Linked DNA regions of Neurospora crassa OR74A. The main gene of each other region encodes a partner of the protein of the gene in region 4 in a complex. Links are inferred from orthologs where the notes say so. Each region holds a gene or a part of one and is shown on either strand. Other genes may lie near its edges. The genes, in order: NCU07386, NCU05717, NCU03343, NCU01761, NCU08728 and NCU08296.

Region 1 (4,886 bases), on a different chromosome or scaffold from region 4:
GCCAGGAGCGTCTGCGTCGACCGAGCCAGCTACAACAGTACTGCCCCTTCTTTCGCCCATTCTTAGACAGCGAGTACAGCTTCTTTCCGGCGCCAGCTCAGATCCATGGATCCGTCTTCTTACCTATGACACTTCGAAGGTCTCCAGACTCACCGAGATCGCCCAAAGCGGTAGCCTGGATCCCCATCCGGTATCGGGAGAAGTGGAGATAGATTGGGATTACGACGTCCACATCAAGTACAGGAGACCTGACCCCGAGACACTTCAGACCCTCGTGGTGTTGGGAGAGTTCGACCTGTTCATTCGTCTTGTGTACTGCGTCAACGACAAAGACGGTGGCGGCGACGGATGGCGTGTGGGCGAGGTCGGTGTAGCCAGCAATCCATCTCCCCTCGAATCCTTCCAGGGTCATGCTACACTCGATGAAGCAGAGAAGGCGTTCAAGGCCCAACAAATCTCTGTGCCAGAAACCAAACCAGTTGCCCAAGTATCCGTCCAAGCTGAACCGGTTGAAGAGGATGACGACGATGATTACTGGGGCCGATACGATGCCACGCCTTCCCAAACTCCCGGTCAAGGCCGCTCTCCTGCGCCGCCGTCCTTGGGCGCCGGCCTCAACACTCAAAAACCCCATCCCTTTGAGCGTAGTCCGTCCGCCGAAGATGCGTACTTCGCCCAATACGAATCCGTACAGCCAGCCATGGACCCCCATGATCCAGACGAGGAGGCCTTCCAGGGCGGAGCTGTGGGGGGTGGTGCACCGCTTAATGGTCTCCCCCTTCGCAGGTCTCCGTCGCCAAGACAACAGGCATATGAGCCGCCTGTCATCAAGTCCGCACCAGCGCCGCCGCCATTGGGCCTAAACGGAGACGGCAACGGCGGTTACGTTCCATCCCGATCACCCTCTGATAAGTCCGGTTCTGACTCAAGTGGCCGGCGCATGTCCCAGGCGGACGAGGAGAGGATGGAAAGCCTTGCTCATCCGCGCCCAGCCAGTAGCGCCAGCTCAAACGGATCCCGCATGGTGGCCAAGCTCGAAGAAACGGCGGAAGCGCAAGATCGAGTCGAGTTTGGAGTTAAGCAGCACGTCTCAAGGACGATTCGAAGTCTATTCCAGCTGTCACGCGGCGCTGGCATCAGTCGTGAAGAGTTCGAGCGGATGGTCAGGAACGAGCTTGATGTTCTTGCGATGGTGGAGGACGACGTTTGAATGACCAGGGAAGGAAGGGAAATTGATTCAAAGGGGGTGTCGGTGTTCACTGTTTATATTCCTCATTCTGTTCGGGATACTGCATCATCGGGTCGTTTTTGGCGTCAAGTAGTACTGGTGGGGGAAGTCCGGTGAGGGCGTCCAGTTCGCCTCGTGATTATTGTTAGTTGTTCGGACTTCGAGCAACGGCGTCCACGGAATTATTTTACAATAGCGTTACAGAATATCGGTCAAAGTACGATAATGAACATAGCACATACACGAGCAAAGTAGAGAAAGATGCCCAGTATCTGTGCACCAGTACATCATCGAAACGGTTGAAGACGCAAGTCAATGTGAACGCCAAGTACGGAACTCCGGAATTGGCAAACAGCTACCCCACCAAGGACGGTAGGTACCTCTCAATAACATCCAGGGTTAGGGTCAAACCTGGCTCTTTGCGAGGACGGTGAGGCTGCCGGCCGCCAGTTCGTCCCAACGATTGGTCCCTGCTCCAATGGCCGGGTCCTTCCGCAGCGGAGCAAAAAAAGTCTCGAAAGTCGCGTCCCACTTCGACCGTCTTCCGGGGTTGAGTGCCCGTGTGTTCTGAAGTGCGTCCGCTCTGCGCCGGCAGCCCGTCCAGTCTTGAAGTTGTCTCCGTCCGTCCTCAAGGTCCGCCCCCCACACACACTGTCCACCGTCCATCTCCCCCGACCGAACGACCGGCCGACCTTCCCTTCCACCGAACCTTTCCTCCGACCCCCGGGCCGTTTTCTTGCGGAGAAAGAGACCAAAAAAAACCCCAACAGACAAAATGATCGGCTCCATGGGTCTAAGGATACCCCGTGCGACAAGCTCGCTCCTCGGCCGTGCCGTCAACGCTGTCGCCACCAACCAGTCCGCCGTCGCCGGCGCCAGCATCGCCGCTCAAAGGAGATGGCAGCACTACCTCATGCCGCTTCGCGACAACTTCGAGCAAGAGGGCATCCGCAACTTCCTCAGCCCCGGCTCCGTCAACATGGCCTATACCGAGTACCAGACCTTCATTTTGGAGAAGCTTAACGCGCTTGTAGTAGGTACGTACGGATGACACAGCAACACAGAACATACTCGTCTGGGGAATTTGGTGTCGCTGCGTTATCATGTGGCACGGCATAGCACGGCATGGCATGGATGAAGGTTACGTGCGAGGATTACTGGCTGCGAGGAATTGGTATCCTTTGGTCGAAAACGCCAAGCTGGGATGCTGTTAAGCCTGAGAGGAAGAGGAGGCATTAGCGCAGTGGTTAGGCCACAAAGGAATTGGTGGAGGAAATAGAAGGAAGGGGACTCGGATTGAAGCTCAAGCCAGAGCATGCCCTGCCTATCCGGGGGGGAAGACATGATGTCACCTATTTTGCTGCATGGGAGATATCTAACCGACAAACCACTTTGCTTACTTCTCTTTCGTCAAACAGGCACCGACTTTGAGCAAAAAGACACCAAGTCCATCGTCCTCGCCACCGCACGCGACCCCGAGCTCGCCCATGTGTTCAACCACGCCTCCATGGCGCACAACAACCACTTCTTCTTCGACCACCTGTCCCCGGTCCCCGTCAAGATGGGCGACAAGCTATTTTACCACATCAACGAGAACTTCGGCTCCGTCGACACGCTCCGCGACGAGATGATCGGCACCGCCGTCTCCATGTTCGGTCCCGGTTTCGTCTGGCTCGTCCGCACCCAGCTTCCCGGTCAGCCCGTCGCCCTCCGCGTCATGGCCACCTACTTGGCTGGTTCTCCTTACCCGGGCGCCCACTGGCGCCGCCAGGAGATGGACGCCCAGACTTCCATCGGGAGCTCCCCCCAGGGCTTGAGCAACGGCCAGCGCTTCTTCGAGCGCAGCGCAGCTGGGTTCAAGGGCAACAAGCTTGAACCTACGGCTCCCGGCGGCACTGATTTGATTCCGATCTTGTGCCTCAACACGTGGGAGTACGCGTGGCTTCGCGAATACGGAACTGGTGTGGGTGGTATGGGTGGTAAGCTGGCGTATGCGCAGAGCTGGTGGAACATGATTGATTGGGCCAAGGTCGAGGAGGAGGCCAGGCTGGAGACTAGGATCTTGACGGGCGGTGATAGCTCTGTTTAGCCTCTTGCTTCCATTCTGCGGGGGAAGAGGAGGGAGGAGTGAGGAGGAATTGAAGTAGGAAGTGAAGCGGGAGCGTGAAAGCTTAAGCCTCGACTTTTTGGTTCTGAATTACTCGCGACTACTGGTCCATCAGTCCATGCCTGCCGCCGCCATCGACAGTCCGACGGCTGTCACCTTGTCCGAGGGGTAGAAAGAGCGAGTGGAACGGGATGGAGATGGATTATTGTACGGTTGCTGCCCAAGTTACTTCTGTGACTTTGTCTGTCTATATGGAACCCGGATATATAGGGAAAAGTTGTTCTGTACGATAGGATAGCATGACGGTGAGACCGGCCGGAAAAAGAGAAAGGAAAGTAAAAACCAAGCCAGCCCCGGCAGCTGCCATCTATACTTTTACATGTGTATATTACCAATGAACCAAATGTGTGTGTGTGTGTGAAAGAGGAAAGCAGGATAACGGCAACGAAGCAACAAACGGATAGGTCAAATGCAAATTGTAAATATAGCACTTTGAAAGATGGACGCACATTGTGACATCGACATCCAACCTTCTCTGCTTACTTGACCAAACTTTTTAGTACATCTCCTAAGGACCTCATACGGACCTACATGTCCGACTACTCCTTACTCCGCATGATGTCTGCTTCCTTCACGATATCAGCTCACTAGGTAACTACCACGACACATCAGCTGTTGAAAACATACCTGACCGCTGCCAGTTGTAGCCCTTCTACCTTTGTAGTTTCAGCCTCTGATTTCTCCTCCTTCGCAAGGCCTCAGGCTCCATGCCGAGTGATCGGTGACAAACTGAATCTTGACTATTGACTGTTAGGTTATCAGATTTGCCTGGCCGAGACCTCACTGGTTCGTTTCAGCGCGGTAGCTACTAAAAGTAGGTACGTAAACCGAGCACCGGTGAAGGACGGCAGAGTGAGTGTATCGGTGTCTCGATTGCCATGCCATGCCATGCCATGTCATGTCTCGCATTGGGACTCCGTACGTTGGATCCGGTCAAAGATTTGGTTCGAACTGGCTTTACTCACTCACGGTCACTCAATCGATGTGTAATGTCCCGGTTTTGAAACCACCCAAGTTGAGCACGAGGTAAAGCTCAAGGGAGGATCAGTCGAGATGATTCATTTTTTATATATAGAGGTATATATGTATATTGATATACATGCAACACAACTGTTGTTCTGACGAAATTTGATCTTTCTGTCTTTCTTTCTTTCTTTCTTTCTTTCTTTCTTCCACTTTAAGTTGATTGGGTTTGGGCCCTCTTCTCAGCTGTACCTACCTTTGACTAGACAACATCTGTTAAAATATTAAACTCTCCTTGTCAAACCCGGATGTCTGTATCAAATGAATCCAGTGACACCAAAAATCCAGTCAGATACCGACGGGAAGATGCCATGCCATGCCATGGTTTATCTTAGCACACGCAGATGGCTTGAGTAGCGCAAGCTCCTGGGCAACGCTCGGCAGCAACCTATGAAGATTGCTTAATTGTCCACGGCGTACTGGTAGTGTATAGGTTAGGCCTGGTGTAACCGTGCCTGATTTGTATCT
Region 2 (4,661 bases), on a different chromosome or scaffold from region 4:
TTTTCTGAATTTGTTGGAAAACATCAACAGAAGGGAGATGAGGGAGGCGCCGAGAATGCAACCACGCAACCAATACGCATTTCCATGCACACCGTGGTTCTCCAGTGGAGCCCCCAGCTCAACCTTAATGTCATTCCCAAACGAATGAATGCGACGCCCCTTTCCCATCAAAGGCATTTATCACCACTTTTGCACCTCAAGATGCCACCACTTGGCTCTTCAGACACGAAAATCATGTTTTCGAAACTGTTTGGTTCTTGTTTCCGAAAGAGGAATGGACGCAAACCCGCAAAGTCGTCGGCTACTCCAAGCGAAGATGCGACTGAGACTGAGGGGAGCCACTCGCGATCACAATCTCACTCCCGATATCCCCAAACGGCGGACAACGTGCCTGGGTCTCTTCAGTTGCAGGATCTTCCGTCTACAAAAACTGTCCTACCGACTGGCAATGGGGAGTTGGGTCCACGCATAGATCCCAAGGGAATATCCACTTCATCCTTGGAAAATGCGCCGGAATTAGAGTCCGTGATGGCTTAAGATGCCTTGCTTATTATTTTCAAAATTTATCAGGTTGGAAACGGAAGACTAACCTTACTTCGACCACAGGTATATGAATGATCGGGAAAGGAAGCGTGGCCCAGATGATGCGTTGAATCAGTTGTTCGACCGTCTGGTCGGCGGTATGTCTCTTTGCCCCTGCCTCTCATTCCCCTCGAACTAACATCGATACAGACGAGGACCGAGCAGCAGCAGGAGCCGGAAAACCCGTCGAGGCCATCGGCGCCGAAGCCGCCCAAGCCTACATCTCCTCCATGGGCGCCAATATCGAAAACGTTGAAGCTTTTGTGGTCCTTGAGATCGTCCGCGCCGACTCCATCGGCCAAATCACTCGCCAGGGTTTCGTCGAGGGGTGGTCCTCCATCTACCTCGACCACCGCATTCCCGCAGACCCGGCCCACCACAGAAACTACGTCCGGATGTGCATCCAAAACCTGCCTCAAAATCCGGCCTACTTCAAAAAAGTCTACCAGTTCGCTTTTGGCCTGGGTAAGGAACCTGCCCAAAAGGCACTGGAGAAGGACGTTGCCTTGGTATTCTGGGATTTGTTTTTGGGCACCGAGTCTTCAGATACAGGACTAGGACCGAGGCCGTGGAAGAGCAAGAACGTGGATTGGCTGGGTGCGTGGAAGCGGTTTTTGGCGGAGAAGTGGACGAGGAGCGTCAACAAGGATATGTGGAACCAGACGCTGGCGTTTGCGGAGAAGACGATGGTGGATGAGACGCTCGGGTTCTGGAACGAAGACCAGGCGTGGCCGGGCGTGATTGACGATTTTGTGCTTTGGTGCAGGGAGCAGGGGATTGCCAAGGCGCCTGCACCGGGGGCAGCAGGAGGGGAGGGGATGGATGTTGAGGATTATTAGAAAGTTGGTCATGAGCATCCGGGGAAGGAGTGTAAAGGATGAAGTCAAGTGGGTGGATGTGGTTATACGGGGGGGAGCATATGAGGATGTTGGTGAGGACTCTTTCGCCTTGGCGCAGGGAGGATAAGAGGGGCAAAGAAGAGAAGCACTGATGGTCATGCTGTTGCCAGTTGATGCTGGGAGGGCTTTCGGGGCTCTCATGGCGGTTATCATCTTGTTGAGGTTGCTGCCATGGTGGTCAAGCGGCGCATCGAAAGATCAGAGGTTGGTTCGCAAAGAGCAAAGAATACATTTACACAGCGCATTTCCAGATACACAATACCGATAAGAGCATGCATTTACAACATGAAGGCCATTCAAAGGTGTATGAAGCGGTTGGGAATGTTTTTAGAACAAGTCTGATTTCTCATTGCTTCTAGACCACATTATAACCCTTTAGGAACTTTTAAAACAGCTTTTCTGGAGGACCATTACACCCAACAGATGTCTCTACAATCACCGAGGTGACAGCTGAAGAGTCGAGTAAACAACCTCTCTCCCACCCACCCTTGATGAAGTGTGTACACCCCTATCCGGAAGGCGGTCAACGCGGCAGAATCTCGACCTTCTTCCTGGACCCCACAAAAATTTCCAAGCAAGCGGCGGCACCCGGACGCCCACTCGCAACCAACCCGCTGCGGCACTGCGGCAATGCGGCACTGCTGACGGCAACACCCACCACACCCTACAGTACTTGCTGAGCCCGGTCACAACAGCAGCCACAGCGGTACCTACTGTGGGGCTCCGAACTTCTTATCGACGTCCAAGGTTCACTAGGTAGTACTATACGCGCTTTCGGCCGGTCGCAATCGCATCGCATCGCATCGCGAAACTAAACTTCTTTTTGCGTTCGTTTCTTTCCCCGAACCGATTGCCCGCCGCCCAGCCCAAACTACCAGACAGGATGTTGTATGAGACTATTGGTATTGTGAGTTACCCTAGGGTTGAACTACAGGAGCAGGTTAAGAGATTGGGGGTACAGAAAAGGAAAGGAAATGGAAAGGGAATGGGAGAGGAGAGAGATGGAAAGAGACAGTCTTGCTAATGATTGCACTTGTGAACAGGTCCGCCCGGGCAACATCGCCGAGGTGAAGGAGTATGTTTTTTTCCCCTTCTCTTTGTTTCCACTCGATAGTCCGTCCGACTTGAAGAAAACTCCCTCCGTCTTTCCTTTCCCTTACGAACCCGACCCGACCCGAACCGACCGATCTTTCTCTTGTCTTCTCTTCTACCACATCATCCACGACCCTACCTACCTATCACCCCGACTCCGACTCCGAACCCAACCCAACCATCCCATCCTCTACCAACCTTCCACACCTCGTCGTACTAAACAAGAACCAATAAAAAAAAAACAGACTCGTCCTAACAGCCGGCAAACTCATCCTCAACCAAGGCGGCGTCATCCGCGACATCAAGAACTGGGGCACGTTCCTGCTGCCCCGTCCCATCTCCACCAACCAGCAGCGCCATAACCGGGGCCACTACTTTGTCATGCGGTACGACGCCAGCATCGCGACGCACGAAGAAGTCCGACGCACCATGAAGGCCGACCCGCGCGTGATCCGCACGGCGAACGTGAAGTTGGGCGATGGCAAGCTGGAGACGCTGTCGAGGTTTGGGGCGATTCCTTGGAGGAGTTTAGAGGAGGCGTAAATCTGTATCTTCTGGACGGAGAGCAAAAGAGGGGGCGGGTGGGGGGGGAATGTGTACGATGGATGGACAGATGGATGGGAAATAATGAATCGAGTCGAATCGAATCGACATATATCCATCCCATCTCCTTACCGGCTTGTGTATACCAAAAGGGCCGTGATGAAGCAGACCGGACAACATATATGGACGGATGGATGGCAGGCATCTTTATACCTTCTTACCTCCGTCGACAGCAACAATAAAAACGACCGAAACACCCACCAATAACGATCTGGGCCTTCGATGAGCAATGGTACATCGTGAACGCACGACACCTGGATAGCAACATGGGATACATACATACAGACAGGCAGCATACGTATCCGAAATCTTCATTGCGAATGGGTTGCGGAACCATCCATACCCACTCAGGTTGAAGGAAGGAGGAACCTGACTCCTTTTCGACCCCGTTAATGGATCACCGTCGTCGATCAAGAAGTTCTGGCGTGAATTAGGGTGCACTCGAAACGGTCAGAGTATCATATCAGTCAAGCCAGCTAGAGAACAAACTCCCGGACCCGTCTTTGTTCATGTACGATAACGCATGTGGAATGTGATCCGCTAAAGAATACGACGCCATATTCAGATTCCTTAAAGCAAGGTAGTTCATCGGTCCCGGCTCAACAAGGATGGCTTGGGATTAAGAAACGTCAGACACGATCATATTAAAGTTACGGGTGATCTTTGAAAACTTGACGTGAGGGCTCTTCGCTCAAACTTCATCCTCGTTTCAGTTACCACACTTGTATGCTACACTACCTCCCCTTATCAAATGTAGTTGATCGATCCTCTCGAGTTCCCAGTTAAACACTATGATATCAGTCTCGCCAACACACGGCAACACACGGCAACAGAGGCATGTTCATATCACCAAGTCAACACACATCCAGAACCGGGGCTCACTAAAGTGAGATTTAATGTAAACCATCTCTATCAATTACCTTCCACTACTTTCACTCGGCTACCTAAATAATGAATCACTCCAGTCTTCCCTCTCTCTCTCTCTCTCTCTCTCTCTCTCTTCAAAACGAAAATTTTTCAAATCCAGTCTTTCCACCCACCATACCAGCAACGCCCGGAACAAGCAAGCAGTAAACTGACCACCACCACCACCACCACCATCACCAACCCCCTTGACGCTGCGTTTGTATCCTACCACTTTATCCCGGCGTTTAGACACAAAAGACCCGGTAGTGAATGCAAGGAAGAAAAAAAAGGAAACACAAAAAAACGAACAATAAGAAAAACATAAACTCCCAAACTCCATACCAACCAGCACAACCGCCTGCAGAAGAAAACCAGGAAAGTCAGGAAATGCAGTAAAACCACGATCGGCCGATCTATGGATCGAGGCCACGCAAACCAAGAGTGCCGTGAAGCAAAACATCTGGAGCAGAAGAATGAGAAAAAACAAGAAAAGCATATCCCTCCGTGGAACCTTTTTGACGCGCTTCACAACTTCCCAACTGACAATTTCTCACCAATCGCCACCACCCACCGTGTTCC
Region 3 (4,452 bases), about 1.5 Mb from region 4:
CATCAACTTGACAGCAGCCACCTTTGTTGCGGGTGCAGCATCCTCCACCGCAGCCGGGCTTCTCCTCTCTGGTCTATCATGGCTATGGCTCATCTCCCTCGTCATCACCGTCGGGATAGTGCTTGGTACCTTTATTGTCTACCGGCACTTTGAAATGATACGCCGGCGTCAAAAGCCAGGTGGCAGCTGGCTCGTCCCCAGCAATACGCCCCAACCCAATGCCGCTGGCACACAAGTTCCCAACACCACCTCTCTTCCTGCTATTTACTTCACATATATACTTGGCTCTGGTGGACACACTGCTGAGATGATTGAGACCATCAAGCAGTCATTTCGCGGCCAGGCAAACATCCACCGGCGGTACATCATCTCCATCGGAGACACTTCCTCTCTCGGCAAGGCCCGCCTTCTGGAAGCGACTATCAAGGACGCCTATCCCGGAGAAGATGATCGAGCAGGCACCTCTGATATCTTCTTAATCCGCCGTGCGCGCAAGGTCCATCAACCGCTCTATACGGCACCCTTTACCTGCCTCATATCCGCCTTTCATGCCGCCAATGCCCTCACACGGATGCCCAACCCACGGTCAACAAAGGATCATGGAAAGGGATTCAGATACCCGCATGTGATTGTTACAAATGGGCCTGCCAACGGCTTTATTGTGTGTTTGGTGGCCCACTTGCTCAAGATATTCTACCTCGTACCCGAAAACAGGGCCAAGGTGGTGTACATCGAGACCTGGGCCAGGTCCAAGACGATGAGTCTGACGGGGAAGTTGTTTCTAAAAACGGGCATTGCCGATGTTGTCGGTGTGCAGCACGAGAGTCTGGCGAAAATATTCAAGGGCAGTCAGTATATCGGGCCGGTGTCTGCCGGGTTTCTTCGAAGATAGGCGACCAGGCTCCTGAATCACATGTACTTCTACAAAGTCTCTTGCCCTCTCTATATGTACAAAGAGACGTGATATTCTTACACTTGTGCACGAGTGGGCCGGCATCGTCTTTCCCCGACACGGATGGGTATCAGCCACGCTATACCACTCTGTCCCTCCCCTTTTACTCCAATTCGTTGCCTTAATTCTGCGCGAGCAGCTCGTCCTCCTCAGATTCCTCGAGCGCAGAGTTGTCGACGACATTGGTGTACATGGAAGCCCTGGCAGATTCCTGGCGGGCGATCTCGGTCGTAGCCCACTTCTTCCAACTCTCATACGTCTTGTTCTCGAGCTCCATGCCGACCGTCAGAAGGTCCTTGCCAAAGTAGCCACCAACCATGCGGGCCTCCTCGACGGCTATCCTGCGCTCCATCTGCTCCAACTGCCTCAACTTGTAGAACTCGTGGCGCGCCTTGTCGTAGGCTTCCTGCTTGGTCATGCCTTGATTCTCCATAAGCCAGAGCTGACGTTGAACGACACTATCGTTTGCGATTCGGGTTAGCATCCAATTTCCATGCCTGTCCGCCGGGCTTTTGCGCCATGTGCAATGCGCTCATCCAACAACGTACCTCTCGCCGGACAAGGGGATGCCGCGTTGCCTGAGGCCCTTGGACCAGTCAAGGAAACGGGCGTCCTTGCCATCCAACTCGATAATCATCCTAGGCCTGGCCAACTCCCAAGGGTGGTCGCGGTAGAAGTCGCGGCGCAACTCATCTTCGGGATAGACGATCTTGGTGGGCCTAAAGAGGTTGCGTGGCTTGCGCGCTCGCGGGTTCGGCGGAGAGTGCTGGATCGGATACGGTCTGGTGTTGATCTCAGCGGGAGGGATGGACTCGATGGCCTTGAGCCACAGTGGTGGGTTCCGTGGTGGCAGGCCAGAGACGATGTTGGTGGCAGCAGCCTCGCTGGCCCTCTGGTAGACCTTTGCGGCCTGGAAGATGCGCCCCTTGCCCATCTTGTCCGGTCGTCGCTGGCGGCGTTTGGGTGTTGTGGAGGGAATTACTGGTGATAATCGACGGCAGCGGTGGTGTTGGCTGAGATCAGAGGACCATTGGCGGATTCGGCGGTCCTTTCGTTCCTCAGGTACCCTCCCAAGGCAAAGGCAAGGCTACGAGGTTACGGGGTGTGTATACCTGTGTAAGGTAATAATAATACACTGCGCTGCGCTGCGTAGGCACAATGGATTCCCTCACCCGCCAAACCTATCGTTATCGCTATTTGCTTAGCTTTGTCCAAAGTGGAGCTGTGCCTTTTGGAGACAGGCACGATCCGACACGACCTTCAGTTGTTGCCGGTAACCCGCGCGACCTGCTGTCCTGCCTGCCGCGAGCGGGCGAGCAATTGGAAGGACGTGCCGGCAAAAAAAAAATAGTTCCCCGCCCCGCCATTAAGCGACCAAAGGGAAGGGAAGTACCTAGCTAGGTGCTTATCGATAACAGAAGTGGGGGTCTTGAGCCCGGCCGAGACTGGACCCTATTCCAGCTTCCCCTCTTTCGTAGAGGCAGGGGTGGGGTGTGCTCACGGCAAGGTACCTGGAGCTGTGCCTCGTCCATGTATTGTAGTGTACACCACTACACTACCCCAACTTTTTCTCAATCATCGCGTCGCTCACCCGACCCCAGTTTCCTGCCACATCCCTCCTCACTTCATGACTCGAGTTCTCCCCATTCTCCCCATACTTCCCCGCCCTCCACGAATCTGACGCCCTGACCACATCGACCTGAGTACGATCCAATTCGCCAGTAACCGCGATTGCATCGAGTGCCAATCGAGTGCGCAGCAGCCAGCAGCTTGTGATTGCGTCTTCTCTGAGCTCTTCTTCATCGAATTGCGGCCGACACTCGCGGGGAACAGGCAAGAAAAGGTTGGCTGAATGGGCAGGCCATCATGTTGGACGGCGGCAGCTCATGAAAGTCTCCAGCCGATTTGAAGGGTCGATATGCGGCACCATCTTCTTGCATCGTCCGTCGTGGAATTGGTCTGCCATTGCCGCCTCCGCAACCGCAATTGCTGCCACCAGTTCCGTGTCGCAAACCACAGCATCCATCCAGCTCGGTGACCAAGGCAGCGGACGAAGAAGACAGGTTGCGACAGCAGGCCTCGGCCCAGTACAACAACGACGGTGCTTCCACGGCAGCTGGAGCTCACAAAGTGGTGGCCTTGTCGATGGGGTCGCGAGGAGACCCATAGGCGGCTCCACCGGTTGCCCGCTACTGACCACCCCATCCCTGCGGGTAACTCCCACCAGTCTGTCCGGCACGAACAGCAGACGAGCACTCGACTCCAACTTCTTCCGCTATTCGGTCTCTGCTCCCCAAAAGCGGAGCCACACGGCGGCGGCGGCGGCGGCGGCAGCCCCGGTCCCTGACCCCGTTGCCGCAGCTGCCCCCGAACCCAGTGCCGATCAGAAGCCCGCCGACTCTGTCTTCTCGGCCCCATCCGCGCTACATGACGATCTATCGACCGAGTCCCACTCGGGCGCAAACCCACAATCACAAGAGCTGCCCGAATCCCACAGTGCGAAGCTCGGTCATCTCACCAAAGAAGAGCTGCTTGAACTGGTAGATCCCTATCATGATCTAGATGGAACGGTCGAAGACTACCTCAAGTTCATTCGCGATCCTTACATGCATAATTATGCGCCCGCTGATAGGCCCCGGTTCACCTTTGTACAAAATGAAGATGACTACGAGTATCCAGGCCCGGACGAAGTGGTTGGACTGGACGAATTTGGCCAACACACACTGAGCGATCTCAGGTTTGCTGTACTCGTGCGGCTGCGCACTCCACACAAGGTTGACCTTGACACGATCTACGACCTCTACCAGCAACTGCCGGAACCGCGCATGCCCTACATCAATGGTCGATTGCGACATCAGCTCCTAAAAGCATTAGGGCAGCCTCAGCGGAGAAACTCCAAGTCCATGCTGCGGTACTTCGCCGTCATAGCGGATGTGAGGAACTGCAGCATGCCCTTGACGGCAGGGGAGTGGAATTGCGCCATCTCTTTTGCAAGCCGATATGTTGGCACTGTCACCGAAACTCAGGCGCAGTCTGCCATGAGACTGTGGCGCGAGATGGAAGTCGACGCTGGCATCAAGGCGACCGAGGTAACCTTCAACATTTTGTTTGATGTGGCCTCGAAGGCTGGCAACTTCACTCTCGCTGAAATGATTTACCAAGAAATGGTCAGTCGTGGGCACTATTTCAACCGCTATCACCACGTAAGCTTGATCCATTTCTTTGGGCTCAAGAGGGAGACTGGTGGACTGCGCGCCGCGTTTCGGGAGATGGTTGAGGCCGGCGAGATGATTGACACGGTTGTCCTCAACGCCGTCATATCTGGACTGTTGCGATCGGGCGAGGAAGCAGCGGCCGAGCGTATTTATGCTCGCATGGTGGCTTCTATCGCGAAGTGGTCGGAGGTGTCATTCCCAACCCGGAGCTATGCCAGCGATCGCGCCATCACCCAGGCGCTGAAGATGATGGCCCGGGTTGCAAAGAAAGCTCCCGAGTTGCAA
Region 4 (4,985 bases):
GTGTACTTCCGATTCGCTATTTTGGACGTTTTAAGGGCGCTGATGGAGTGTTTTTGAGGGGACGGCTCGACGTCCTAGCAGAGATCGGGTCAGTGATCAAGGCCTGTGGATATGTAGGAGAGGGTTCTAAGGCGTAACAGCCGCGAGATAGATCAAGTGAATATGAAAGGAGTGACTGGGACAAAATACAGGTCCGATGGTTCGGTTGAAGAAAAGAATAAGGTTGTGAGCAAGCAGTGGCTGAATCTATGTTGCTGTGGGAGTGAGCGGGGCTGGTGAGTATCTGGCGGTCGCGTGTCGAGAGGTTTAGTCCCGACAGCTGCCAGTCCGCTGTAATGATTTTCGTCCCGAGTGTGTTGCAGTTCGTCGCCGTCTGAGGGCTGGCAAGGTTCTGACGACCCGGCGGGAGGTGAGGGCAGCAATTTCCCAAGACCCAAAAAAAGAACCTGAAACATGCAACTGAATACGTAACATACAACTAGAATACATACCTGCTGCAAGTTGGGAGACATCAACTCATCGGGAAGCTTCGTGTTCTCGTCCTGAGACTGCGAGAAACTCCTGGAAGCCGAAGCACGGCGCTCGTTGGGCGAGCCGGTGGATGCTGCGACGGCAGACATGGTCGTCTGCTGAGGGCTGGATGTTGAATGACCTAGCCTGAGGGGATTGGAGGGATGCTTTGGGTGCTGGTGTTTCACAATGGGAGGAGATGCTCAAGATGGTGATAGAGAAAAGCAGTAGATTTGGTTCCAATGGCGACGAAAGACACAGATAAATAGAAGCTTGGGGGCGAGATGACCACAAACCGCTTTTGAGAGAACACGGTTGGTGATGGCACCGACAAGAAGATGCAGAAAGAGAAGAAGCCTTAGAAATATGTGTTGATATAATGGGGAAAAGAGAAAGAGCTCCAAGAGCTGGTCTGGGACGGAAGAAAGAGTGTAAATGTGCCCGAGATACCCGTACTTTCAGCTACAGTTGCCCTGAAGTTGGACCTTCTCGCAAGGCAACAGCAACAAACCTCTTGGTGACGATGGACGCACCGGTCAGAATAGGGCTAGAGGTAGGTAGGTACCTCTAGGGTAGGTATGAGCCCGGGATGACCGAGACTAAAGTCGAAATGGTGGACCCTTGGCTCCCGAGGGAGGAAGGCACGATGGAACTGTGACCGGGACTGCCCAGGTGTCACTGCCCGGACACTCCAAGCAAAAAGGGGTTCACGATGCCTGTGAGATAATCCGCAATCTCTGTGATCAAAGCTCACTTGGGCTGCCATCAGATGATCTGACGAGTGAACGCACATCGGCTCGTCCATCCGAAGATCGGAATCGAATATGATGAGTCGCTGGGGAAGTTGCGACCGGTATTCCAGCTAACGATCATCGGCCTTTGGCGTCGTGCCTCCCGTCCTTGTGCCTAGCGGGATCCTTATCACCAAGCCGAAGTTTTTCACGTGTCGCGGGGACGTCGGGCATGATGGTCAACCGAGCCAGCGATGAGACATCCTGCCGCGTTAAGGACCTTGCTGTCCGGCTGCCACTTCCCATACGATCAACGGGTTTCTGGGTTAGGCGTCCGAGCCCCAATGACATATTCCGAGTTCATTAGGCGGTATTCATACCTAGGTGTTCATGTCACCTGCCATTCGGTGTGATCTACCATTCTTCGTCGGAATGAAAATGAGTAGAGTAGGTAGGGAAGCATGCAACGTCTGGAAGCTTCAACAAGACAGCACCATCACCTAGCATCGTGGACATTAACAGATAGGAGTGGCGGGTCGGCTTTTCTCGTCCGGTAGGGCTGGGATGCCAAGGTCTTTGCAAATTATGGTAGGTGTGATTAGCTTCCTTTCCTATCCATTTTTATTTTGGAAAAGGCTTGAAATGGAGCAGGAAGAGCCAGCGCACCTTTTCACATTCATGGCGTTCTTTGACATGGACGGCTTGTGCAAAGATCTTGGGTGATCCGACACTCGCTTGTTGTTTTCACCCAAATGATCAAAGCTGTTCGTAAAGAGGGACAATGGCGAAGGGTCATATCCTCCCTCAAGCCCATCCGCGCTATGGAATCAAGATACGGTATCTTCAGCTTATCAACAGGCGCTTCTTTGTTCGATGCATCAAGAGACTTGTGTAGACGCATGGGAGGACAGTCCCGAGATGAACCTTTGACAAAGCTGGTAACCACAAACCTGCTTGTCGAACTAGGCGGCTATTCAACACCATTTGAAGGGGCAAGTGCCGCGGGCGTCGCTAACCATATGTACAGTTGTGGCAGCACCTCGTCACGGGGAGACTGTGATGGCATCAAGTACTGAGCGGAAAAATGCATGTCGAAATGGACCAACTGCCGGAGGAACGCCAGGTATTCGGGGTATATGATTCTAGTCCGCCCACTATATGATACATGTACACGTCGTGTAGTTCTGATTTCGGGACGCCGTGTCTTATTTCTTCTTCTTCGCATCTGTCGCAGAATATGAACGTTAGAGATTTGAACCGTGAGTAAGAGGTGCAGACGAAACCCACCGGCCGCCGAGGGTGCCGTTCTCTTCTTCTTGGGCGCTCCCTTGTCGCGGGCTCTCAGACTGTAAGGTATGGTTAGATTGTGATGTTTGCAAGTAAACACTAGCAGGAATGAGAGAGACGAACGCTGCCAAGTGCTCCAAACGATCATCATCGACCTCATCGTCAACCTCGAGACCAAGAGTACCGAACTCCTTTTGAAGCTCGCGAATACCGACGTTCTTGCGGGGGTAGTAGGTCGCAAGTGCCGGGCCCTTGAGTCGCTGACGCAGGATCTTGTTACCGGTCCGGATGCCTTCGGGATTGAAAGTCGTCGAGAAGAGCTCGCAACGAGCCTAGGTATAACCTAGTTAGCGAACTGGTTTTTCCCCTCATTCGGAACTGTTCCATACCTTCACAAGTTGCAGTAACCGCGCCCGTGGGACCGACATCTTGCCGTTACATGGAATTGCGGATTCGCGAATTCTAGAAACAGCAACAACAAGAGCCGCCGGATTGTTCGACGTCGTTCAGAGATCTCCCGCTCCAGCCCGTCAAGCAATGCGCCACCAATCATAACCATTCATGGGTACAAAGAGTGGGGCACGGACTGCAACCGTTGTTTTCGAGCCGCAGTGTCCCCGGGCCGTCAGCGCAAGCCCGCTGATGAAGCCGAGGGCGGCGCGTTCCAGGGCTGACAGGCGCTAAGAATGACAGCTACGGGCCATAACAGGGCAGCAGCAGCGCCCTGATGTGGATCTGGGGTCGAACAGGGGGTTAGGGTTTCCACTACGCAATGGCCCGGGATTCGTTCTCATCTTGAAGAATCCGTTTTCGATTCTGCCTCTACAATTTCATCGCCGCATCAACGCGCGATCTGAGGCATTCGGATTGCTTGTAGGAAAGTACAATCTTGCCATGCCGAAACACGGACCCACCCCGGAGGAGGTATCAGAACCGCCCTCCAAGCGTGCGAAGTCAGACTCTGCACCATCCGCATCACAAGGCGCTACATTGGAGTCCGCAACCTCCGTCCAAATTCCTTCTTTGCATGCCAATACCAAATGGACACTCGCTACCATCCAGAGAATGCGGCCACCGCTCCCCGACATTCTGGACCCGGCACTCAAAAAGGCGGCGCTCACACACCCTGGTAAAGCTAACAACGACCCTGTTGCAAGTTATGAGAGGCTGGAGTGGATTGGCGACGCTTATCTTGAGCTCATCGCCTCCTCCTTCATATATCAAACTTTCCCGACCTTGCCGGCTGGCAAAAGCGCACAACGTCGCGAGATGCTTATCCGCAACACCACACTAGGCGAATTCTCGGTCTATTACGGCTTGGACAAGATGGCCGATATCCCGGAAGAATTCAACATGGAGGGCAGAGTGGGCGGTACAAACGCAAGTCAAAAAGTCAGAATTAAGATTCTCGGAGACCTTTTCGAAGCCTATGTAGGAGGCGTGATTCTTTCTGATCCTGCCAATGGGATTCAGCGTGCTTCAGACTGGCTCAAGGCCCTATGGGGCCCTCTCATGGCGGAGTACATCCGCGAGGAAGAGAAGAAGGCCAGGAAGCCGGAGCAAAAGCAATCCGCAAGTGGCCAGACACTCGACCCAAAGACAGTACTCGAAGCTACCATTGGAGCCAGGGGTGTCAAGATCGAGTATAAAGATCTCCCTTCCAAAAACCTGAAGGACAGGGGAACCAAGCTGCCTCTTTTCGCTATTGGCTGTTTTATGACAGGCTGGGGGGAGACCAACCTGCAACTTGGGCACGGAAGTGCTTTGAGCAAGAAGGAAGCTGGTCAGAAAGCAGCTCAAATGGCCTTGGATAACAAGAAGCTGCTCAAGAAGTTTGCGGACAAGAAGGCGGAGATGAAGGCCGCGCGGGAAGCCCAGCTGCAGCAGGCAGGAGTGACGTTCCCCTTGAAGGATCAGCCTTCGGCACAGGAAACCACTGGCGGCGTGCTGTAGCGACCAAGTACTGTTCGGTCTCATATGCCCCTGATCTTTAATACTTCGACACACCAACCATCACATGCCCGTAGTCTCGTGGTTTACCTCGGGCGTCGGCCATGAGAAGGACGCATAGCAGATGAATTAGGCCATTCATTACTACGGGTAAACGACCCGGGTTCAAGGGAGGACCAGGGACCGTTTCGTTTGCACATACGAAGAGAAACCACAACGAACAAGCTGTGGCCAAAGTCGATGATGAACCATCTTGTTCATCCACAGGTCAGCACCTCCTTTCATAGTTAGTAGAGATATCCATCAGGCATCTTCGGAATGTTATACCCCTACCTGGAGTGTTCGTTACTTTCAAAAATATGGAGGCTTATCTTGAATTCAGGTCTCACAAACCACTATGCTTTGACAACCCCGACTCCAAGGACAAAGAAAGACATAGAAGATGGGGACCTCAAGTTTCTGTACGGTAATCATGAAGCGCTCGACCAATCATTAACATCTTCTCGG
Region 5 (4,706 bases), about 1.3 Mb from region 4:
CACTACAGCGCCCGCCGCCGCTAACGACGATCAACGACCAAACATGGACATCCCCTCGCTACCAGAACCCAAGCTTCCCACGCGCAAGGACGTCTCTCTCAAGGAGCTTCTGTCCAAGATGGATGAATACGCGCCTATCGTACGTCATCGACTTAGCCTACTGCTCCGAACCCTCCTTCACCCCCTCTCCCTCTCTTTTTCCCTTGATCTTCATTCATCCATTACCTAATATTCTATATCATAACCTGCTAACGCTAGAACTCGCTGTACAACAGATACCGGATGCAGTAACATCCTACTACATGACCCGCGCCGGCCTTCCTCCCCCGCCACAAACCGATCAACGTCTGGCCCGTCTGCTCGCCTTGGCAACACAAAAGTTTATTGCCGACATCGCCGCCGACGCCTACCAGTATTCCCGCATCAGGGCATCCAACACCAACGCGAACAACCCGATGGGCAGTCTGGGTGCCGCGGCGGGGTTCCCTATTCCTGGACAACCGACCAATCAGGCGGCGGGGGCGAAGGATCAGGGCAGAGGTGGACCGTTGGGTATCCAGAGGCCGGGGTACGGTGGTGGTGGACAGGGTGGCAGCCAGAATAGGACGGTGCTGACGATGGAGGATTTGGGCATGGCGGCAGGGGAGTTTGGGGTTAATGTGAAGAGGAGCGAGTTTTATCGCTAGGGGGGCAGTCACGGTCACGGTGCAGGACTGTCTGCTCTACTGATGAGAAGGGATGGGGAAACGGTGGGTGGTTTGCCTGAGTGTGAGCGGAATGGTGGCATGGCAGACCAAAGGATGATACTATCTTAAAGGGGCGGCAACAAGTGGTTACTTGCTCAAGGAGGAGGATATCAAGAGGATGATGCATCGATGGATGGATGGATGGGCAAAGGGTCGGCAATCAAGGGTCCAACACGGGAACGGTGCAAAAGGGGTTTGGGGTCATCGGGTCTTCTTTTCTTTTTCCTTTTTTTTTTTCCTTTTTTTTTTTTTTTTTTTTTTTTTTTTGCGCTTGGCGTTCAGGAGGCGCCGTTATGGAAGATTGCCATCGTCCTGTTTGCTCTCAGTGAACCCGTTATGACTACTAGTCTAGGCTAAAAATAATAATACCTGGCGATACTAGCATATTTTTATCAATTACAAAGCATAATTAAACTACACACTACACAACATATACATGTTCATCTTGAAACAACAGACACAGCACAGTAGTATGAATCCAAGCGAAAGTTCTAATTTGCCCCAAAATATGATATGTGTACAGAAACCTGTGCCCTCCTCTGACAATGGTATGGTATGATACAGATAAGCAACGAAAATATGCTTTTTTGTTTTTTGCCGAAATAAACGCCGCCCACAGAAAAAACGTGTCAAACCCGCATCCATCAATCAATCGACTTCTTCTTCTCTTTTCTTCTTCTTCTTCATCATCATCACTGAAGAGACGAACGAAGTTTGGTTTGTCTATTTCTTCTTACCCCAGATGAAGGGCTTGCGTGTACTGTTTGAGGTTTTGAACCATTCAGTTAGTGTCGGTCCAATTGTTCATGTCCATATGCCCAATGTGTGTCTTTTGTGTTGTTTGTTTTCTGCTGACCACACTGCACCACCGCCTACGATCATCATCATCCCGTGGTGGCGTCCAACACATGTCGCCCGTCCAGCCATTCATGGCTTGCCACCAGCCAATGCCATGGCCATGCCGTGTCAGACCATTGAATTTTGTGTAGGAAAATTCTTTTTTTTTTTTTTTCTTTTCCCACACCGCCAACATTTATGGCATTTCCGCCGCCATCTTAAAAAAAAAAAAAAAAGGAAAAAAAAAAGACCCTTTAAAAAAATAATATATTGAAATTGAAAAATAATAGTCAAAGAAGGAAAAGAAAGGAAAAAAGTAGACTAGTGAAAGTAGGGGAAGAAAGAACCAAAAAAAAAAAAAAAGAAAGAAAGAAAGAGCACTTACGCAGAAAACTCTCCAAGCTTATGCCCCACCATCTCCTCGGTGACAGTCAAGTCAATGTAGTCCTTGCCGTTGTGTACCTGGAACTTGAGGCCGACAAAGTTGGGCAGGATGGTGGCGGACCGGGCCTGGGTGCGGATGGGAGCGATCTTCTTGCCGGGCTCGGGGCGCTGGATGGGGAGACTGTTTTGTGTGTATGCGTTGGTGGTTAGTGCCCGTTTGCGCTCAAGATAGGTGACTATGCTTGTAGCGTTGCGGTTGGATTCGGTTGGACTGCGTTGGTTCGCGGATGGAGGGGAATGTCGCGGGATGGGCTCGTAGAGAATGATGGACATGCGCCGGCAGCTTTGATCGGGAGCAGGGAGGAGAGAGAGTCCTCGGGAGTGCGCCGGCGCATTGAATTGTCGTCGTCGTCGTCGTCGTCGTCGTCGTCGTCATTGAGATCGCGGGGACAGAAACGAGGGGAAGGGGTAGTAGAGCTTACGGGACAATGTGCGGACCTGGAGTCGGCGATGCGGGTTAGCTTGACTGTCTTGGACGGCGCAAAGAGTACATTATCGCAAGGTGAAGCTTAGGAGGAGACAAAACAAAATAACTTACCCTTCCACACGGATCTCTTGAAAAGAACCCTTGTTGGCTGCATGTTGGGCGCGAACGAGAAGGAATTCGGTGGTGATGGGTGGTGGCTGCAAATAGCGGGAAGAGGCCGGGCGCGTACGCGACACTCGGATGGTCTTGAGATCAATCGGTCGGTCGGTCGGTCGGTCGGTCGGTCGGTCAGTCAGTCGGCGAGTCCGGCAGGCGGGCGGGCGGAGCGGTTCCAGGTATCACGGCGACGGCGGCAGTGACGGGAGCGCTGACCACGGCCGAATTTTGGAACTGCCAAGCTTATCGGTTGCCGGCCGGCATACCTAGTACGGACGCCCCCGCTGACTCTCCCCCCTGGCTACCTATGTACGCAGTAGGTACTTCTACAGGGTTAGGGGGCATTCATCAAAGCGATTATCGATACAGCAAAAACCCCTGCACGGGTAACCCTGTCTATCGATATCTAAAAGCAACGCCCCCATAATTACACTACGATGATAACCCTCTAAACACCTCTTTTTGTCAAGGTAACCTACCGTCAATATACAGATGGATGTCAACCCTGCAGTGGAGAGGTACGGAAATCTTCAGTCAAACGGCACTTGCTTAGTGAGCAGAGAAAGCGGGGTCTACCTGATGGCAAAGATCAATTAGCATCCAATTTGTGTTATCGTGCATTTCTTGGGTGCGCAAGAAGAAGAAAATCTATGCACGATACTGCTGAATCTAATGCTATGGTGGTGTGACTCGTGCACCACACCCTACAGGTACCTACCCCTGTACTGGCAAGCCCCCCTGCTCGAGCAGCACTTGGGGCCGAAATCTTGGTGTTACTCGAACTAGGATACAGCAAGTATTATATGACTTACATACCGTTTAGCAAACCGGCGGCACTGGTTGGCACTCTCAGACACTTGCTGCCCGTGCTGCCGTCAATTGGTTCAGGACTAACGCGACTGCGATACTCCAAAACATAGCATCCCGGATTCCGGACTATTGGCATTCTTGGTGGTGGCCGATAACCGGCGTGCGTCCGTCGATTCCTGACTGCAGCTCAGTGGTTCACATCGATCGTGCACTCCGTCTTCTTCAGTGTTGCTCCTTCCTCAGCATTTCAAGTTCCATACACCTCGCCACCACTACAGTATGTATGATGTTTGTACATCAATGTAGGACGTAGTGTAGGTAGTTTAAGGCAGGCGTGAACTGCCGTGCTGTGCCTTGCCTTGCCTTGCCTGGGCATGGACTGGGCCGTCATGGATTCTTCGTCTAGGCAAGAGCGCCACCGCAGTCAATATATCTATCTGGCCGTGGTTTCCCGTTCGCGTTCACAACGACCTTCTTTTTGGATTTCACCATCCGTCACTCTTTTTTTTTTGTTTTGCGCATTTGTGGGTGTGCTTGCATCGTCGATGCCCTCAGACGAATGCCCCCCCTCCCTCTGGTCGGTCTGATCAACATTTGATCGGTTCACCAGTCTGCGCGCAAAGTCCGAGAAGGGCACCGCATTCGTTCTTCCCGCGAGCCACCTGAGAACAGGGCTGCATTTGTTTACTATCCAGCCAGCCATGGAGTTCCAACTTCCATCATCATCATCATCATCATCAAGCAGCTCGACTGCTGCGCAATTGTTTGCACTAGCTACCCATCAAGATCAACCGTTCCCGGAATAAACTAGTAGGGAGCACTTCCCGTCCCTGGGTGTCTGAGTGTGCCTTGATCAACTTGTCGGACTACCGCAAATGCGGACGAGTGCCTGAGTATCAGTGTTACCCGTCTCTTCACATGATCTAATGCTCTCCAGATCCCTCCTCTTTCGGGCTGAACGGTCACTATAACGGCATGGTGCTCCACGAGTAATTCTACCATCATAACGAGACGCCGACTGGCTCGTTAGCATTGCGTGTCGGAGTGTTCCACCGTTGAGCTTGCTCGCGCGCACGGAACTGAACCAGGCCGTCTCAGGCACCATCTCCACTGAACGGATTCAGCAGGTCGTCTTTCCCAAAATTGACTGGTCACGCTTCTGTCCTGCATCATATGCATGCGCGCCGCACCTGTCAACGCCAGTACCCCTGTCCGCTCAGCGCTGCCAGACGTCCACCACCACACCACAACCACCACTACACTACGGTCCTACCTATCCGGATCTC
Region 6 (5,042 bases), on a different chromosome or scaffold from region 4:
AAGCCAACAGTCTCTTTGCAGATCCCTTCATAACCGGATGGGTTTCTGTTAGAAATTTGTTGGCTGCCGTAAACGGTCAAATTTCCAAAAGCCGGTGTGTTCCGTCGTTGGGACGGGGTGCGGTCCGGTCGACTTTGTTCTTGAAAAGCTAATGCAGATGTAATTGGGCCGGAGGAGCTTTTTCGAGAATCTCTTACTTCACAATGGCAGCATGGTTCCAACAGATATATCCTCTTATCTGCTTTAGGGAGTTGAGTTCCGAAAATATGAGGGAGAAGAAAGAGAGATAATTCGTTGGCTGTTCCCCATCAGATGTTTGCGGCGCAGCAGCAATCAGGCCCTCAACTCCCTTTCGCGGCTCTGCTTGCCCTTGTCTTCTTGACCGACTGTCGGCAACATCATGTTTCCGGCTGCCACCATGACTGACAAGTCGGTTAGGATGCTGTGGCTGGCGGGAGCGAGGAGCAATTCACAACCGAGAAGCTCATAGAGGGATCAGAAGGAGTCGGGTTTGAATTGTGCTCGCGACGTTGCACCATATGCAAGTTGCAAAGGGGGCGTAAGGGAACAGGCGGGAAATCTCACTTGGACGAAAAGCAACGAACGACCAGATATCCCAACAACACATGTATTTTATTAACTGCTTTCATCGGCGATCAGATGTTTTTATTTCACGGGGAATTCTTGTAGGAGGTTTTTCTTTTCACGGTTTACGGTCGGTCATACCCAACCCAACATTTCCGGCCGATTCTCTCAACTGGTGCTTCGCTCTCCAGCCACGGAGGGTTCTTGCTTACCACATAAAACATACACACACTCAACGTACACTTAGCCTCTCCTAGATAGTTATTTCTTAGCCTTTTTCTCTCTCGCGCTCTCAAGGCGAATTTTGCCGTCTTCCTCAGTGATAAGTGTTTACCTTTGCACTGCTCCTCTCGATCGACAATGCTATGATTGGCAATTTTACTATATAAGCACTGAGCTTTCAGAGAGGAGACCGTAGGTGTCTCGGTGGTTCTCATCTGTCTCATGACTTTCTTACGCAAAGAAGAAGGAAATTTGTCTATGCCCCTCTTTATATCCATTTAGTTAATAGTGGTAATGATACATGTAGCGTACATCGATGCCGAAGGGGGCGAACTGAATGAGTCTGCAACAGATTGTTCGGGTATTGAGGAACGAACAAACTGTTACGCGCAATGTGCCCAAAATACGTATGAAGTCAACTCATCTCATGCATGATCCATCCCCGTCTCCTTTTTCTCCGGGAATCGCGAGATTTGCCGCCCACTTCGCAGCTTTCTCATCGAGACCGAACCCGATTTCCAACGCATGGTCCAACTGAAGCCGCAGCAGGTGCAGAGTATCACATCATCCGAGGTTGCCTTGAAGATGCAACAAGCACAATAGAGCGTACCCGCGACATGCAAAAAACTGGGTGCGCGCGACTCTAATCGTCCATTGGCGAATTCTACCGCTCTGAGACGGCAGAGAGTGACTGCCGTTCCTCCCTCCATCTCCCCTTTTCATTCCCTCGCTCCTAACTAGACCTCCTTTAACCTCTCCGTAAGTACCAGTTGAACGCGAGTTGGTTGATAGTGGGGGAGAAAGGCGACGGTACTTCGGACTCGCCCGGGCGCGCCACGGGGTGGCGGAGGTAGACGGCCGCGCAGATGTTCTGGTTGACCTCAAGGTAGCGGGGGATGAACGCGAAAGCGGACATGTAGTTGCGCGGCCTCCAGGGGGTCATGTACGGCTTGCTCGGGTCGATCTCGTTGTCCTCGTGCTCGTCGTTGTACTCGATCACCTTCTTGAGCACCTGGCGCGACTGCTTGTCAAGCTTCTTGCTCAGCTCCTTGGCCGCCTCCTCCTGCTGAATGGCCTTGGAAGGGGAGACCGCAAGGCGCTCGAGAAGCATCGTCAGGTCGTCCACCACGTTACCGGTTGGCGAAACGGACCCGTCGCGCCGCTGCGCTTGCTTGATGGCGGCCTTGATGTCGCGCTTCAAAGCGCGCAATGCTTGCTTGCGCGTCGCGGAGAGCTGGTGAGACGGCGAGTCGGCGATGTGCTTGGCGTACTGCAGCAGACGTTGGAGCTGCAGGAGTTCGTACTTGCGGTTCCAGGCCTCGTCGAACTTGGAGGTGTCGACTTGCTTCTCCTTCTTGCCGGACTTGGAGGCTGCTTCTTGTGCCTCTCCTTCCTCGGCCTCCTCGGCCTCCGCATCCTTCTCTTCGGCGGCTTCCTGTGCTTCCTCCGCAAGCTCCTTCTTGGCGGCCTTCATAGCCGCGGCGAGGAGCTTCTTGTCCTTGGGCGCACCGGTCGCATAGAGGACGCGCTCGACGTCGACTTGGAAGAGATCGCCAGGGTTCAGGAGGTAACCGGGGTGTTTCATCTGCAAAAGGATCGGGTAATGTTAGCGCCGAAACAAGCAGCTTTGGCATGGGTGCACTGTATTGTGGGATTCGGTATTGGAACGTTGTGATGGTGTACATGCCTTCTTGCCGTTGACGGTGACGGCACCGTGCACAACCATCTGGCGGGCCTGTCTCGCACTGCTGGCAAAGAGGGCTCTGAATATGGCGATATCGAGGCGTCTCTCGAGAGGCGCAAAGGTCATTTGCTCGTACGGCGTGGGAACCTTCCTGCCCGGGTTGGCGATGACTTGCTTGGCAGGTTTCTCGTCGGCGGTCTTCTCGTAGGCTGGGGGCTCTGAGAGGCCGGAACCGCGGCCGGCGGCTTGTTCGCTGCCGTTATATTTGGCCATGTATGCCGGGTCCATGTTGACGACGGCCGGTAGGCGACGGCTAAACATGCGCGCCCATTTGCGTTCCTTGATGTGCTCGCCGTGGTATGCTCGTGTCAAGGACTTGGCGAGCCATTTCTGCTGGAAGAATGTCTTGCCGCTGATTCTGGGTTCTCTCCCGGCCGTAGCCAGGTTGTACAGGTTATATTTGTTCCATGTCGGCCTGATGGGCTATTCGGAAGAAGAAGAAGCGCACACAAAATACGTCAGCATGATCGCGTGTGGTGGGTGTTGAGTGTCGTGGCAATGGGACTGGCAGGTAGTAGGTAATGGGGCGAATGGGGTGATGATGCGGCGGCGGCGACGATGACCAACGGCAAACCCGGCGACGGCGGCATAAAACACCGAATAGCACATACCTTTTTCTTCAAACTGTGGTACTTGAACAACCTCCGGATCTTCATGTTGGGTGTGGTGTGTTTGGAGGAGCTTCGGGGGATCGGATCGGACTGTAGGCCCCGTGCTTTTGGCGAAGTGGACGGACCGGTTCGGCGCAGGTTGTTTGGAGATTGTCGAGTCCGGAGCGGTCCGGGGCACCTAGCAGCACTGCCAACGAGGGGAGCTTCCCGGGGCCCTTCCACCTCTTATCGGGCGCCGTCCTCCGAAAATTATTTCAGACCCGAATTGGAGCACGCGCTCGCCCATTGGTCGCATTCACGTGAGAAGCTCGGGCCACTGTGCGCGTCAACTCCAGGCCGGATGGTGGAGAACTGGCAGGCACAGGATGCGGGAGCTAGAGCGCATGCGGTATAGCTCCGCAACCTCTTGGCGGATTGCGGGTGCAAGTGGAGTGGGGCTAGAAGCAGAGCCAGGCGGTAGAAATCGGCACAAAAAGTCTAAACCCAAAGGCGGTTCCCTTGGACCTGGGTGGGGCTGATTTGGTTGCTTGCTTGGTTTCGCCGCTTCCATTTTTTTGCGCTGAGGGGGAGGTTTTGACAAGTGCAGTCCTCGATATGACTCCAATGCCGACAGACCCTGGAAAAAGTCAGGGCAGATGGGTTACGCTGCTGTATGATGATGGAGGGAGGGAGCTCAGTAATGGATGGACAAGACTGAATCAAACTCTCGATCTTTGACAAGGGAATTGAAGTGTGTGTTACAGTTCAGAATTATCGAGGTCCTACCTGACTTACACTACGTGACTACCTCTACACTTCACACACGTCCTGGGATTTGCTGGTGAATGGCCGACTTTCCTGTCGCGTCGATCAACAATCAACCCTGCACCAACCCAACACCATTCCCCCACTGCACCCTGCAATAACATTTTGCGCCTACCGCCCCAAAACTGGAGTGCACCTGAAGGACCCACTAAATAATTTCGTCGTTTTGCCTGCTTGGTCCCCGGTCTCCAGTGCACTTTCTGCATTTTCATCATCCGTTCACCATTATCTCTCTCCCGGCCATCTACATCCATTCTTCTCTTCCGTGCACGCGCGTCACGTTAGACGGTCAATTGCCTTTACAGCCGCTTGTACTTTACCCTTTCAAATACCTACAGGCCACTCCGACCTTCATCATGAGCGATACCACCGCCAACACTGAGGCTGCGCCTGCCGTCGAGAATGTTCAGACCGAGGTCCAAACCGAGACTGTAGAGGCCCCCGTCGCGGAGGCTGCCCCCGCCGCCGAGGAGGCTCCCAAGACTGAGGATGCCAGCAAGGAGGAGGAGAAGAAGCCTGAGGCTACCAAGTCTATCGACCGCGCCGACTACAAGAACAACAGGAAATACGATCCTTCGACCCAGCCCGTCACTGACGATCCCGTCAAGATCCGCAACCAGGTACGATCAGACTACAAAAACAGTTGGCATGCTGCGTGTCCCCGTGTCTAACAAATAGTCTTAGGTCGAGTTCTACTTCAGCGACAGCAACCTCCCTACCGATAAGTTCATGTGGGAGACGACCGGAGGCGTGGAGAACAAGCCCGTTTCGCTCAAGACCATCTGCAGCTTCAAGCGCATGCAGATGTTCCAGCCCTACTCGGCCGTCGTCGCCGCGTTGAAGGAGAGCGCCTTCTTGGATGTGTCTGGCGAGGAGGGCCAGGAGACGGTCAAGCGCAAGAAGGCCTACACTTCGTCCTCTGATGCGCAAAAGGCCCGTCTGGCTGCCAGCGTTTACGTCAAGGGTTTCGGCGAAGAGACCGGATCCACTCAGTTCGACATCGAGGCTTTCTTCACCAAGTTTGGTCAGGTCAACCTGGTCAAGCTGAGGCGTAACGAGGAGAACAAATTCAAGGG

Evidence for each region.
Region 1: NCU01761 (region 4) and NCU07386 share a complex: the UniProt entries of both Saccharomyces cerevisiae proteins name them as parts of the mitochondrial small ribosomal subunit. The link is inferred for Neurospora crassa OR74A from reciprocal best matches to the Saccharomyces cerevisiae genes RSM27 and RSM26.
Region 2: NCU01761 (region 4) and NCU05717 share a complex: the UniProt entries of both Saccharomyces cerevisiae proteins name them as parts of the mitochondrial small ribosomal subunit. The link is inferred for Neurospora crassa OR74A from reciprocal best matches to the Saccharomyces cerevisiae genes RSM27 and MRP17.
Region 3: NCU01761 (region 4) and NCU03343 share a complex: the UniProt entries of both Saccharomyces cerevisiae proteins name them as parts of the mitochondrial small ribosomal subunit. The link is inferred for Neurospora crassa OR74A from reciprocal best matches to the Saccharomyces cerevisiae genes RSM27 and RSM25.
Region 5: NCU01761 (region 4) and NCU08728 share a complex: the UniProt entries of both Saccharomyces cerevisiae proteins name them as parts of the mitochondrial small ribosomal subunit. The link is inferred for Neurospora crassa OR74A from reciprocal best matches to the Saccharomyces cerevisiae genes RSM27 and RSM19.
Region 6: NCU01761 (region 4) and NCU08296 share a complex: the UniProt entries of both Saccharomyces cerevisiae proteins name them as parts of the mitochondrial small ribosomal subunit. The link is inferred for Neurospora crassa OR74A from reciprocal best matches to the Saccharomyces cerevisiae genes RSM27 and NAM9.

Annotation. Positions count from the first base shown.
Region 1 is NC_026501.1:6,128,920-6,133,805, reverse strand, and holds NCU07386 (Fe superoxide dismutase), read left to right. Parts: upstream 1-1,733; 5' UTR 1,734-2,003; coding exon 2,004-2,265; intron 2,266-2,646; coding exon 2,647-3,317; 3' UTR 3,318-3,778; downstream 3,779-4,886. Other genes in the region: NCU07385 (hypothetical protein), read left to right, coding at 1-1,210. UniProt on the Saccharomyces cerevisiae protein: Component of the mitochondrial ribosome (mitoribosome), a dedicated translation machinery responsible for the synthesis of mitochondrial genome-encoded proteins, including at least some of the essential transmembrane subunits of the mitochondrial respiratory chain.
Region 2 is NC_026503.1:613,607-618,267, forward strand, and holds NCU05717 (mitochondrial 37S ribosomal protein YmS16), read left to right. Parts: upstream 1-2,102; 5' UTR 2,103-2,364; coding exon 2,365-2,388; intron 2,389-2,524; coding exon 2,525-2,556; intron 2,557-2,818; coding exon 2,819-3,116; 3' UTR 3,117-3,815; downstream 3,816-4,661. Other genes in the region: NCU05716 (hypothetical protein), read left to right, coding at 607-680, 733-1,421. UniProt on the Saccharomyces cerevisiae protein: Component of the mitochondrial ribosome (mitoribosome), a dedicated translation machinery responsible for the synthesis of mitochondrial genome-encoded proteins, including at least some of the essential transmembrane subunits of the mitochondrial respiratory chain.
Region 3 is NC_026502.1:1,034,191-1,038,642, forward strand, and holds NCU03343 (mitochondrial 37S ribosomal protein RSM25), read right to left. Parts: upstream 2,227-4,452; 5' UTR 1,887-2,226; coding exon 1,501-1,886; intron 1,411-1,500; coding exon 1,074-1,410; 3' UTR 893-1,073; downstream 1-892. Other genes in the region: NCU03344 (hypothetical protein), read left to right, coding at 1-892; NCU03342 (hypothetical protein), read left to right, coding at 2,839-4,452. UniProt on the Saccharomyces cerevisiae protein: Component of the mitochondrial ribosome (mitoribosome), a dedicated translation machinery responsible for the synthesis of mitochondrial genome-encoded proteins, including at least some of the essential transmembrane subunits of the mitochondrial respiratory chain.
Region 4 is NC_026502.1:2,519,929-2,524,913, reverse strand, and holds NCU01761 (hypothetical protein), read right to left. Parts: upstream 3,161-4,985; 5' UTR 2,957-3,160; coding exon 2,918-2,956; intron 2,861-2,917; coding exon 2,652-2,860; intron 2,588-2,651; coding exon 2,529-2,587; intron 2,467-2,528; coding exon 2,447-2,466; 3' UTR 1,908-2,446; intron 1,816-1,907; 3' UTR 1,042-1,815; downstream 1-1,041. Other genes in the region: NCU01760 (pumilio-family RNA binding repeat protein), read right to left, coding at 492-620; NCU01762 (nucleolar RNAse III), read left to right, coding at 3,423-4,481. UniProt on the Saccharomyces cerevisiae protein: Component of the mitochondrial ribosome (mitoribosome), a dedicated translation machinery responsible for the synthesis of mitochondrial genome-encoded proteins, including at least some of the essential transmembrane subunits of the mitochondrial respiratory chain.
Region 5 is NC_026502.1:3,810,973-3,815,678, reverse strand, and holds NCU08728 (mitochondrial 37S ribosomal protein RSM19), read right to left. Parts: upstream 2,988-4,706; 5' UTR 2,609-2,987; coding exon 2,566-2,608; intron 2,466-2,565; coding exon 2,450-2,465; intron 2,149-2,449; coding exon 1,969-2,148; intron 1,507-1,968; coding exon 1,470-1,506; 3' UTR 1,218-1,469; downstream 1-1,217. Other genes in the region: NCU08729 (transcription initiation factor TFIID 23-30kDa subunit), read left to right, coding at 1-139, 276-686; NCU08727 (hypothetical protein), read left to right, coding at 4,598-4,706. UniProt on the Saccharomyces cerevisiae protein: Component of the mitochondrial ribosome (mitoribosome), a dedicated translation machinery responsible for the synthesis of mitochondrial genome-encoded proteins, including at least some of the essential transmembrane subunits of the mitochondrial respiratory chain.
Region 6 is NC_026504.1:2,501,266-2,506,307, forward strand, and holds NCU08296 (mito ribosomal protein S4), read right to left. Parts: upstream 3,397-5,042; 5' UTR 3,208-3,396; coding exon 3,163-3,207; intron 2,975-3,162; coding exon 2,495-2,974; intron 2,393-2,494; coding exon 1,556-2,392; 3' UTR 1,012-1,555; downstream 1-1,011. Other genes in the region: NCU08295 (RNA-binding La domain-containing protein), read left to right, coding at 4,323-4,586, 4,651-5,042. UniProt on the Saccharomyces cerevisiae protein: Component of the mitochondrial ribosome (mitoribosome), a dedicated translation machinery responsible for the synthesis of mitochondrial genome-encoded proteins, including at least some of the essential transmembrane subunits of the mitochondrial respiratory chain.